Pelodiscus sinensis: one gene and its partners. The main gene of each other region encodes a partner of the protein of the gene in region 3 in a complex. Links are inferred from orthologs where the notes say so. Each region holds a gene or a part of one and is shown on either strand. Other genes may lie near its edges. The genes, in order: MED13, MED18 and MED8.

What was found.
Region 1: MED8 (region 3) and MED13 share a complex: the UniProt entries of both Homo sapiens proteins name them as parts of the mediator complex. The link is inferred for Pelodiscus sinensis from reciprocal best matches to the Homo sapiens genes MED8 and MED13.
Region 2: MED8 (region 3) and MED18 share a complex: the UniProt entries of both Homo sapiens proteins name them as parts of the mediator complex. The link is inferred for Pelodiscus sinensis from reciprocal best matches to the Homo sapiens genes MED8 and MED18.

What each region holds. Positions count from the first base shown.
Region 1 is NC_134731.1:5,977,448-5,981,189, reverse strand, and holds the start of MED13 (mediator of RNA polymerase II transcription subunit 13), read right to left. Parts: upstream 2,814-3,742; 5' UTR 1,146-2,813; coding exon 1,080-1,145; intron 1-1,079. UniProt on the Homo sapiens protein: Component of the Mediator complex, a coactivator involved in the regulated transcription of nearly all RNA polymerase II-dependent genes.
Region 2 is NC_134716.1:84,449,516-84,453,257, forward strand, and holds the start of MED18 (mediator of RNA polymerase II transcription subunit 18), read left to right. Parts: upstream 1-1,332; 5' UTR 1,333-1,471; intron 1,472-1,698; 5' UTR 1,699-1,711; coding exon 1,712-1,784; intron 1,785-2,624; coding exon 2,625-3,178; 3' UTR 3,179-3,742. UniProt on the Homo sapiens protein: Component of the Mediator complex, a coactivator involved in the regulated transcription of nearly all RNA polymerase II-dependent genes.
Region 3 is NW_027465825.1:11,831-15,572, forward strand, and holds the start of MED8 (mediator of RNA polymerase II transcription subunit 8), read left to right. Parts: upstream 1-1,289; 5' UTR 1,290-1,327; coding exon 1,328-1,333; intron 1,334-3,742. UniProt on the Homo sapiens protein: Component of the Mediator complex, a coactivator involved in the regulated transcription of nearly all RNA polymerase II-dependent genes.

The DNA of each region.
Region 1 (3,742 bases), on a different chromosome or scaffold from region 3:
CTTCTCCCACATACTTCTAATCTCCTGTCTTTCCTCCCCCAGGTATGACAACAATTTGCACAGTTTATCTAATGGGGTGTCCTCCCCCACCACAGTTAGAAGATCAGGCTTTGGACTCAGGGTTGCTAAGGAATTTGCAACAGTTGGTACTTTGAAAGACTTACAAGATGTTACTCATACTGAGCTGCAGGCCTGATGCAGCCTTCATACTGGTATCCTGCAGACATGCTCAAGCTGCCCAGATTCCCCTCCCCCAAAACATACAACAGCAAGAACAGTAAGACACAGGGTTTACTTACAACAGTCTCTGCAATAATAAATACCCATCAACCTGATACAAACTAATTTGCATTAAAAGGAAAATGAGATGTCAGCAATCCCCATAGCCACACACAAAAATGCACCATCACCCAACCCAAAACAAGCTGGCTTTAGGAGCTGTCAAAAGTAACAGTTAAAAAAATAAAGGATGTGAAATGGTGCACAAGTATAGGCTGGCATATGCATTTGTAAGAATATCATCACCAAAACCAGCTTCTTACGGAAAAAATTAGACAAAGAAAGCATTAAGAATCCAGGAAAAAGGGAGGATTTAGCTGAGATTTTTTCTGGGGCATCACTAAGGGGGATGAGAAAGCATACAAAGTTTGTCTGAGGAAAGGAGAGTAGTGGAGCTACATACCTTCTGTCAGGACTAAAATAAAAATGTGAGAAGGTAGAGCTAAAAAATTAATAGAAAGCAGAAAAAAGTTGGGGGCAAGCAAACAGAATGGAAAATCTAAGTGTTGGGGTAATATTGGCCAAAAGTGACAAGAGAAAGAGGGAAAGACGGTATTATAGAGGCAACGATGTGGGTGGAAAGGGGGGTGGGGAGGAGGAGGAGGAAAAACAGAGGGACATAGAAAAGCTAGCTGGTTCCAGGCAGGGCCTACTCTGAGGACTCATCCAGCAGAAGCTATACTAAAAATGGCTGCTTTGCTTCCACTACCCCTTCCATCCCCCGCCCCCATCGCCCCCCCCCCCTCAAAAAAAACTCTTTCCCTCTGTGTATAGTGTGTCCGCAGCTGGTGGACACTTACCAGACAGAATAGGTTGGAATGGCAATCCTCCAGGCTGGCCCCGTTCGGCACGAAGCAGGAACTCATCCTCACAGCCACAACCCACACGCCATTATCCCACAGCCTCCGACAAGAAAGAAAGAGACAGACAGAGAGAGAGACTGAGGGGAGGGAGAGACACAGAAGGAAGGGGGGAGGGAGGTTACACACACGCACAAATAATACAATTAAATAAGGGAATTTACCCCCACACACACACACAGAATAGTGTCAGGTAAAATATTCAGAAGGAGAGCGGCGTAAAATGGGCAAGAGTCAGAACCTTTCCTTCTCTTCTGCCAAAGCAGGGGGAAAAGACAACAAGGAAAGGGAAGAAAAAAGGAAGGGGTCAATAATCCAACGATGGGAGATTTAAGATACACAATCCTCCCTGCTCCTCTCGTCTACTCAATCGAAGACCAAGGGGGGAGAATAGGGTAACTGATCCAACAAGGGGAGAGAAGTGGGGTAATTAATCCAATGGGGCAGGAAGTAAAATGGGTTCACGACCCCTCCCTCTTATCTCAGTCGCCAAACGAGGGAGTTGAGGAATAAATAATCCAACAGGGGCAATTAATCCAGCCACCTCCCTGCTCTTCCTCGTTTTCTTAATCGCCAGACGAGAGGGGCAAATAGTGGAATGACTGGGGGATGAGTGGTAGAGGGTTGATAGAGTCCGAAGGGGAAGAGGAAGAAGCGGGGGTGTCAGATTCTTCTCCCCCTCAAAATATATTCCAAATAAATTAAAGATTAGATCAGACAAAAACTTCGGGTTTCAGAAACCAGCTGTTTTAAGGATTCCCAAGACTGGGGTAAAATTCTCCCGGGGTGTACCCCAAATCCGCCAGGGGGGTTCTTCAGAAGGGGACCCCGAAAGCCCCCTCAGCAGCAGTCCAGCGAGGTACGTTTTCGTGTCACCATACCCCCCATCAAAAAAAATCCTCTTATCTGAAGGGTGCAACCAGCCCAACAGTCTCCGTTGTGCGTGCAGATTCTTCGCTGGGGGAGGGAAGGGAGAGACACACCAGGGCGCCCCTCCGAGGCGCTGCGGGGGGAGCTCCCCAGGGGCTGCGCCCCGGCTTTTTTCAGAGCCCCACGAAGTCTCTCCTCAGCAGGGGCCTACCCCGAAGTTGCGCTGACCCCCACCAGACCCCCCCCCCGGAGGGGTGGCGCTCCGAGCCCCACCGACTCGCCGTGGGGTGGGGAGGTCCCTCCGCCGGTGCGAACCCCGCAAGTCTTCCGATGAGAGGTCTCTCGGGACGGGGGGGGCTGCACCCCGCGAGCTCCCTAGCTGGGGAGGGAGGGGCCAAAGGGCGGGCTGGACCCCAAACGCTCTCAACGGGGGGGGGGGCCTCCGCGGGCGGGGGGGCCAACCCCGGATCTCCCCGGCGGGGACGCCGCACCCCGGCTTCTCCTCAGCTGGGGGAGGGGGGCGACGCCACACGCTCCGGCCCCGCCGCCGAGACAGAGGGACGCGGCGGCCGCAGTCGGTGCCCCGAAGCCCCTGCTGCCGGGCCTCCTCCCTCAGCGGTGTCTCTGTCGGCGGCTGCCCGGCCGCGGCATCCTGAGCGTCCGGCTCCCGTCAGCGAGTCGCCCCCATGTCGCGTCCCGGCCGAGGGGGGAGGGGGAAGATTCTTTTCCCGTCTAATTCCGAGCCCCTTTTTCTTTAATGGCGGCCACAGGGACGAGAGTCTAGGGGGGCCCCCCCTTCCGCGCGCTGATTGGCCGCCGCCGCGTCACGTGGGCTGGAGCAGCGATGGCCGCCGTCGAGGTTCAGGGAAAGAGGCTGCAATGGCGCAGCCGGGCCGTGGGGGGCTGTGGCAGCGCTAGGGAGCTGCGCAAGAGGGGGCTCGCTGCTCGTTGAGAGAGCGACATCTAGTGGGGCTCCGTGGCGTGGCGCGGGAGGATGAGCTGCTCCTTCAACACTTCATTTTTACATCGCCTCATTAGCAGCGGGCCCACAATTAACAGGTGCCTCCTTTTTTTCCCCTGTTATAAAATACTTACTTATGCATCAGAGGGGTAGCCGTGTTAGTCTGAATCTGCAAAAGCGACGAGGAGTCCTGTGGCACCTTATAGACTAACTGAAGTGTAGGAGCATAAGCTTTCGTGGGCAAAGACCCACTTCGATGCATCTGACGAAGTGGGTCTTTGCCCACGAAAGCTTATGCTCCTACACTTCAGTTAGTCTATAAGGTGCCACAGGACTCCTCGTCGCTTTTACTTATGCATGTTATTCCTCTCCAGCTCATCATCTGATGAAGTGGGTGTTGTCTACAAAAGTTCATGATGCTATATATTTTTGTGAGTCCCGTGGGGCTCATCTACACTATGGAGACGATGGAAACTGCCACAATTGATCTTCCAGGATTGGAAGTAGCAGGTCATGCTAATTCAAACTGGGAGGGCATGCCCGTCGGTGCTGGTAGTCCTAATGAAGACTAAGGGACTTCAAGGGCACATCTGCTCCTGTATGTCTCTTGCTGCATAGACAAGCACCAAAACACAGTTTAAGATACTTCCACTCCAGCTACATAATAAACGTAGCTGAAGTTGCATCTCTTAAGTTGACTTTCCTCTTTAGCAAAGACCATGCCTAAGGTGTCACAGGACTTCTCATTGCTCCTTTGCAATTAGTTTAAACA
Region 2 (3,742 bases), on a different chromosome or scaffold from region 3:
AGGAAGAGGAGAGGGGAGGAGTGTGTGCCTGGAGAAGAGGCATTGAAAGGAGGGGTGGGCATAAGGAAGGCAGGGGATGGAGCAAGTCATGTGTGAGGGCACAGAGGGGCATGAAGAGAACTGAGTCAGAGAGTGGTGAGGGGGTGGGCACCAGGGAGGGACAGGGGAAGGGGGAGGTACCATGAAAGCGCAGAGGTAAGGGAAGATGCAGGTGCCAGGAGATTGTGGGAGTGAAGCAGAAAGGCAGACACTGGGAGGGGAAGGACGGACACCAGAGGAGAGAGGAAGGGCAGGGGGGTAGAGGAAGGTGTTAGGAGAGGGGATGGGGAGGGGTAGCTACGGATGATCAGAGTGGGGCTAGAGGAGGAGTGGACACAGGGCTGGTGCAGGAGAAGGGGGGTAGGTCCCCAAAGGGCTGAGGGGAGTGAGAAGGGCAAGAGCTAGGACAGCAGAGGAGGGTGAGGGGTGGAGGGCAGCAGGCACCAGGGGAATAAGTGGGGCGAAGGGAGGGTGGGAGACATGTTAGCGGAGGGAAAAGGGAGAGGTTTACAAGATATTTAATAATAACTTGGTTGCCACAGTGGCACACATTGGCAGTGGCAGATATAGGGCAGGGCGAGTGGGGCAGCTGCCCCGGGCCCTGCGCTTCAAGAAGCCCTGCGCACGGCACATGCGCTGTGTCCAAGGGGGGGCCCCATGAAATTGTGCTGCCCTGGGCCCCGCAAAATCCTCATCCACCCTTGCACATGGGAACAAGCGCCCATGAACTCAATACTGATGCACAAGACAAAATTCACTCTGCCTGTGGGAGGAAAATCTGAGCGGGAACAGTCCCTCAGCCTCTCCCCTCGCGCTAATGCAATGCAAGTGAATGCTCTTGCAGTACAGTTGCATGCGGGGGCCAGACCCATCGCTACTGGGAGGACAGGGGAGAGCTCTTAGCGGGGTCACAGAGCCCCCTTCGCGTCTGCTCGCTTGGCCGTCGGGCCGGGCCGCACTGCCTGGAGGGGTGGGGCGAATGGGGCTCGGGGGCGTGGCTGACGTGGGCCTAACTTTGGTTCAGAAACTGTGGGCCCCACAGTGCTGGGCCCCGGGCCCTGGCTGCGTGGCGGCTGCAGTAAGGACCGTTCCCTCGCGCGCCTGCCCGCCCGTTGGGCGCCATTTCTGACGCGTGACTCTTACCCCAGAACGTTCTTCCCCCTCTCGCTAAGGAGCTGGGCCAGAGAACCAACTTCAGCCTCTTTGGGGCGCCTCGGGCAAGGCGAGGGGGAGGGGCAGCCCAGGGGGGCCGGGCGGGGTTAAAGGGGGGGGGGCATCTCGCGCACTAAACCGAACCCCGCCCCGCCGCCTCACTCCGCCCGCTTGCCTGCGGCGCATGCGCAGGAAGCCGCTGGGCCTGGGCGGTGGAGGTGGGGTTCGCGGAGCGGAGCTGGGCGCGAGGGAGCAGCCCGTGTAGCGCGGCGCCCTAGAGGTGAGTGGGGAGCGTGCGCCCTGCGCAGGGGGCCCCAGGACCCTCCCGGGCCGGTTCCCACGCGCCCCCTCCCTGCGCCGAGCCGCAGGCTGGAGCCGGGCTGCGCCGCTTGTCCCCCTCGGGCTGCGGGGGGCGCCCCCTCCCAGGCCCCTCCGCCGTGTCGGGGGGCTCCCCGCGCCTGGCCGGCCGCTGCAGTCATGGGCCTGGTTTCTTTGTGCTTCATCTAGGGAAGCCAAAGCCATGGAGGCCCCGCCCGTTACCATGATGCCCGTCACTGGCGGCACCATTAACATGATGGAGTATTTACTCCAAGGTAAGACGGCGGGAAGGTGCGTTTGATTTCGGGTTCCACAGGCCGCGAGGTTCGTCTGAACACGCCCAGCTTGCCTGCGCCCCAGGCGTTGCAGTTGGGGAAGAGGCGGCCATACCGCGAGAAGGTCCTTTTCTGGAAGAGGTTGACGTTTAGGGCTTAACGCTCCAGCAGCAGGGATCTGGCTCTGACCGTGCACTAACTCCTGGACTCCAAGAGGAACTCCTAGGGACCGTCTCCCCCTCCCCTTTCCAAACTCCTTTTTGGTGCAGGATAGTCCCTTAGTGCAGACTTGTTCTGGGCTTTGCTCTTGCCCTTGTAGTTTTTGGTTCTGTGGCAAATCCCTCTGAACGATTTGGTGATAAACTTCTTTGTAGTTATTAACTTTCTTGGCGTCTGTGTGCTGCTGTTGTAGTTACAGTGCAGCATGCAGACATTCAAAACCAGCAGCAGTGCACCTTCAGGTCCTTGATGTGTAGGGAGTGTGTTCAAGCAGTTAGAACTAAGTTATTTTCCTGACTGTTGTTTACTGTCTGATCTTGGGCAAAGTCATTCAGGTGTTGTACACCTCTGATTCCTTTTCTAGAAAATATAAAATAAGGGAATAATCCTCCTTTTGTAAAATGCTTTGAGATTCCCAGAGAAAGAGCACTGTGTATATATTTCCTGCAGCTTTTGCAGCCTCTGCTTTTTGAAAAATGAGCATTGTTTGCTTATTTGCTCCTATTTTTTAATATGGTGAGATAGTTTGGGATATCCCATGCACTGCTGGAAGTAACCATGCAATCTTTGTGACAATAGTAAGCTTTTCAGTGGTGAAATAATTATCTTGTTTTAAATCAGGAAGTGTTTTGGATCAAAGCCTAGAGAGCCTCCTTCACCGGTTGCGTGGTTTGTGTGACAACATGGAACCTGAGACGTTTCTGGATCATGAGATGGTGTTCCTCCTGAAAGGGCAGCAGGCTAGTCCCTTTGTCCTGAGGGCACGGCGCTCCATGGACAAAACTGGAACACCCTGGCACTTGCGCTATTTGGGACAGCCAGAAATGGGAGACAAAAACCGCCATGCTCTGGTGCGCAACTGTGTTGACATTGCCACATCAGAGAACCTTACTGACTTTCTGGTGGAGATGGGCTTCCGCATGGACCATGAGTTTGTTGCCAAGGGCCATGTGTTCCGCAAGGGTATCATGAAGATTGTAGTGTACAAGATCTTTCGCATCCTGATTCCAGGAAACACTGATAGCATTGAGCCCTTGTCTCTCTCCTACCTTGTGGAGCTGAGTGTTGTAGCTCCAGCAGGACAAGACATAGTGTCTGATGACATGCGAAACTTTGCTGAGCAGCTAAAGCCTTTAGTTCATCTGGAGAAAATTGACCCCAAAAGGCTCATGTAAAGGACTCAGCAAATAATCTAGTTCTAACAGCCTCTTCATGCAAAGACTGGACAAGAGTTTATATACCAGTTTCATTCTCCAAATAATGGAGGAGAGATGTCTTAATATTATTTCATGAGACAGGAAATACAACTATCAGAATCAGTAATACAGTGGAGCTGACTGCACGCTGTTGCCAAAAGAGGAATGTATTTTTTTCCCACTTTTTTTTTTTAACTTAGCAATCTTAGGTGTTAGTTTATCTGCTAGTGTTACAAATAAGATGAAAATTAGTTTTTCAGGCAAAAGGTGTTACCCCTTCAACAAATATAGATTTTTTTTTTTTAAAAGCTAGTTTCCTTAGTTAGGACTTGGTTTTCAAAACTGAACTCTCAAAACATAACTTACTTTTAAGACTATTTATTTTAGGTACTTCAGTAAACTGGGCCTATGAAAATAATCTGATCAGTTTCTCTGATTTCTAGTCAATTCCTTTTTCTGCTTCTTACCTATTTGTAAATGTCTGCAGAAGAAGCTTGTAGATATTTAAAAGTGGTATTTTAAAAAATTCTGTACATCTAAGGT
Region 3 (3,742 bases):
CCCGCCCTACGGCCCCCCCCGGCTCACTGCCTTACGGCCCCCCCCGCCCTACGGCCCCCCCCCGGGCTCACCGCCCTACGGGCCCCTACGGCCCCCCCCGGCTCACTGCCCTACGGCCCCCCCGCCCTACGGCCTCCCCCCGGGCTCACCGCCCTACGGCCCCCCCACCCTACGGCCTCCCCCCGGGCTCACCGCCCTACGGCCCCCCCGCCCTAACGGCCCCCCCCCCGGCTCACTGCCCTACGGCCCCCCCGTGCTACGGCCCCCCCCGCCGGCTCACTGCACTACGCCCCCCGCCCTAGCGGCCCCCCCCCCTACGGCCCCCCCGCCCCTACGGGCCCCCCCCCCGGCTCACCGCCCTACGGCCCCCCCCGCCCTACGGCCTCCCCCCCCACGGCCCCCCCCCCGGCTCACCGCCCTACGGCCCCCCGCCCCGCCTCCTACGGCCCTCGCCCCCCCCGGCTCACCGCCCTACGGCCCCCCCGCCCTACGGCCTCCCCCCCGGCTCACCGCCTTACGGCCCCCCCGCCCTACGGCCCCCCCCCGGCTCACTGCCTTACGGCCCCCCCGCCCTACGGCCCCCCCCCCCGGGCTCACCGCCCTACGGCCCCTACGGCCCCCCCCGGCTCACTGCCCTACGGCCCCCCCGCCGGCTCACTGCCCTACGGCCCCCCCGCCCTACGGGCCCCCCCCGCCCTACGGCCCCCCCCCCAGATCACCGCCCTACGGCCCCCCCCCGTCCTACGGCCCCCCCCCAGCTCACCGCCCTACGGCCCCCCCCCGCCCTATGGCCCCCCCGGCTCACTGCCCTACGGCCCCCCCGCCCTACGGCCCCCCCCCGGGCCTCACTGCCCTACGGCCCCCCCCCACCCTACGGCCCCCCCCGGCTCACTGCCCTACGGGCCCCCCCACCCTACGGCCCCCCCCGGCTCACTGCCCTACGGCCTCCCCGCCCTACGGCCCCCCCCGGCTCACTGCCCTACGGCCCCCCCACCCCTACGGCCCCCCCCGGCTCACTGCCCTACGGCCCCCCCCACCCTACGGCCCCCCCCGGCTCACTGCCCTACGGCCCCCCCGCCCTACGGCCCCCCCCGGCTCACTGCCCTACGGCCCCCCCGCAGCTCACCGCCCTACGGCCCCCCCCGCCCAACGGGCCCCCCCCCAGCTCACCGCCCTACGGCCCCCCCGCAGCCGGGTCGGTACCTCCGCGTCCCCGCGCTCGCTGCCCGCCATGTCGGCCCGGCCCCGCTTCCGGCCCGCGCTGACCTCTCACCCCCGACCCGGAAGTAGAAGGGGGAGGGGGTCGGTGTCTTCAGAGGATGCAGCCATGCAGGTGAGCGGAGCGGCGGCGGCACCCCCCCCCCCCGCTGAGCCGGCCCGGGGGGGGCTCCGGGGGGGGTCTCTGACGGGAGGGCTGAGGGGGAGGGGCGGGGGCCCCGGGGGGGTCTCTGACGGGAGGGCTGAGGGGGAGGGGCGGGGGCGCCGGGGGGGGGCTCTGACGGGAGGGCTGAGGGGGAGGGGCGGGGGCGCCGGGGGGGGGGCTCTGACGGGAGGGCTGAGGGGGAGGGGCGGGGGCGCCGGGGGGGGGTCTCTGACGGGAGGGCCGGGGGCCCCGGGGGGGGGCTCTGACGGGAGGGCCGGGGGCCCCGGGGGGGGGCTCTGACGGGAGGGGCTGAGGGGGAGGGCCGGGGGCCCCGGGGGGGGCTCTGACGGGAGGGCCGGGGGCCCCGGGGGGGGGCTCTGACGGGAGGGGCTGAGGGGGAGGGGCGGGGGCCCCGGGGGGGGCTCTGACGGGAGGGGCTGAGGGGGAGGGGCGGGGGCGCCGGGGGGGGGCTCTGACGGGAGGGCTGAGGGGGAGGGGCGGGGGCCCCGGGGGGGGGCTCTGACGGGAGGGCTGAGGGGGAGGGGCGGGGGCGCCGGGGGGGGGCTCTGACGGGAGGGCTGAGGGGGAGGGGCGGGGGCGCCGGGGGGGGGCTCTGACGGGAGGGGCGGGGGCCCCGGGGGGGGGCCCCGGGGGGGGGCTCTGACGGGAGGGGGAGGGCCGGGGGCCCCGGGGGGGGGGCCCCGGGGGGGGGCTCTGACGGGAGGGGGAGGGCCGGGGGCCCCGGGGGGGGGCCCCGGGGGGGGGCTCTGACGGGAGGGCCGGGGGCCCCGGGGGGGGGCCCCGGGGGGGGGCTCTGACGGGAGGGGGAGGGCCGGGGGCGCCGGGGGGGGTCTCTGACGGGAGGGGGAGGGCCGGGGGCGCCGGGGGGGGTCTCTGACGGGATGGGGAGGGGCGGGGGCGCCGGGGGGGGGGTCTCTGACGGGAGGGGGAGGGGCGGGGGCGCCGGGGGGGGGGTCTCTGACGGGAGGGGGAGGGGCGGGGGCGCCGGGGGGGGGGTCTCTGACGGGAGGGGCTGAGGGGGAGGGGCGGGGGCGCCGGGGGGGGGTCTCTGACGGGAGGGGCTGAGGGGGAGGGGCGGGGGCGCCGGGGGGGGCTCTGACGGGAGGGGCTGAGGGGGAGGGGCGGGGGCGCCGGGGGGGTCTCTGACGGGAGGGGCTGAGGGGGAGGGGTGGGGGTCCCGGGGGGGGGGGTCTCTGACGGGAGGGGCTGAGGGGGAGGGGCGGGGGCCCCGGGGGGGGGCTCTCTGACGGGAGGGGCTGAGGGGGAGGGGCGGGGGCCCCGGGGGGGGCTCTCTGACGGGAGGGGCTGAGGGGGAGGGCCGGGGGCGCCGGGGGGGGGTCTCTGACGGGAGAGCTGAGGGGGAGGGGCGGGGGCGCTGGGGGGGTCTCTGACGGGAGGGCTGAGGGGGAGGGGTGGGGGCGCCGGGGGGGGTCTCTGACGGGAGGGCTGAGGGGGAGGGGTGGGGGTGGGGGTGCGGGGGGGTCTCTGACGGGAGGGGCTGAGGGGGAGGGGCGGGGGCGCCGGGGGGGTCTCTGACGGGAGGGCTGAGGGGGAGAGGCGGGGGCACCCGGGGGGGTCTCTGACGGGAGGGCTGAGGGGGAGAGGCGGGGGCGCCGGGGGGGGTCTCTGACGGGAGGGCTGAGGGGGAGAGGAGGGGGCGCTGGGGGGGGGGTCTCTGACGGGAGGGCTGAGGGGGAGAGGCGGGGGCCCCGGGGGGGGTCTCTGACAGGAGGGCTGAGGGGGAGAGGCGGGGGCCCCGGGGGGGGGGTCTCTGACAGGAGGGCTGAGGGGGAGGGGCGGGGGCGCCGGGGGGGGGTCTCTGACGGGAGGGCTGAGGGGGAGGGGCGGGGGCGCCGGGGGGGGTCTCTGATGGGAGGGCTGAGGGGGAGAGGCGGGGGCACCCGGGGGGGGTCTCTGACGGGAGGGCTGAGGGGGAGAGGCGGGGGCGCTGGGGGGGGGGGTCTCTGACGGGAGGGCTGAGGGGGAGAGGCGGGGGCACCCGGGGGGGGTCTCTGACGGGAGGGGCTGAGGGGGAGGGGCGGGGGCCCCGGGGGGGGGGCTCTGACGGGAGGGGCGGGGGCGCCGGGGGGGGTCTCTGACGGGAGGGCTGAGGGGGAGAGGCGGGGGCACCCGGGGGGGGTCTCTGACGGGAGGGGCAGAGGGGGAGTGGCGGGGCTTATTTCAAAGCTCTGATCAGCTTTTGCGGAAAAGCGTCCTGCCAATCTAGACGCGCTTTTCCGCAAATGCTTTTAACGGAAAACTTTTCCGTTAAAAGCATTTTCGGAAAATCATGCCAGCGTAGACGTAGCCACTAAATCTAGACTACATCCCTTTTTCAGAAAAGGGATGCAAATTAGA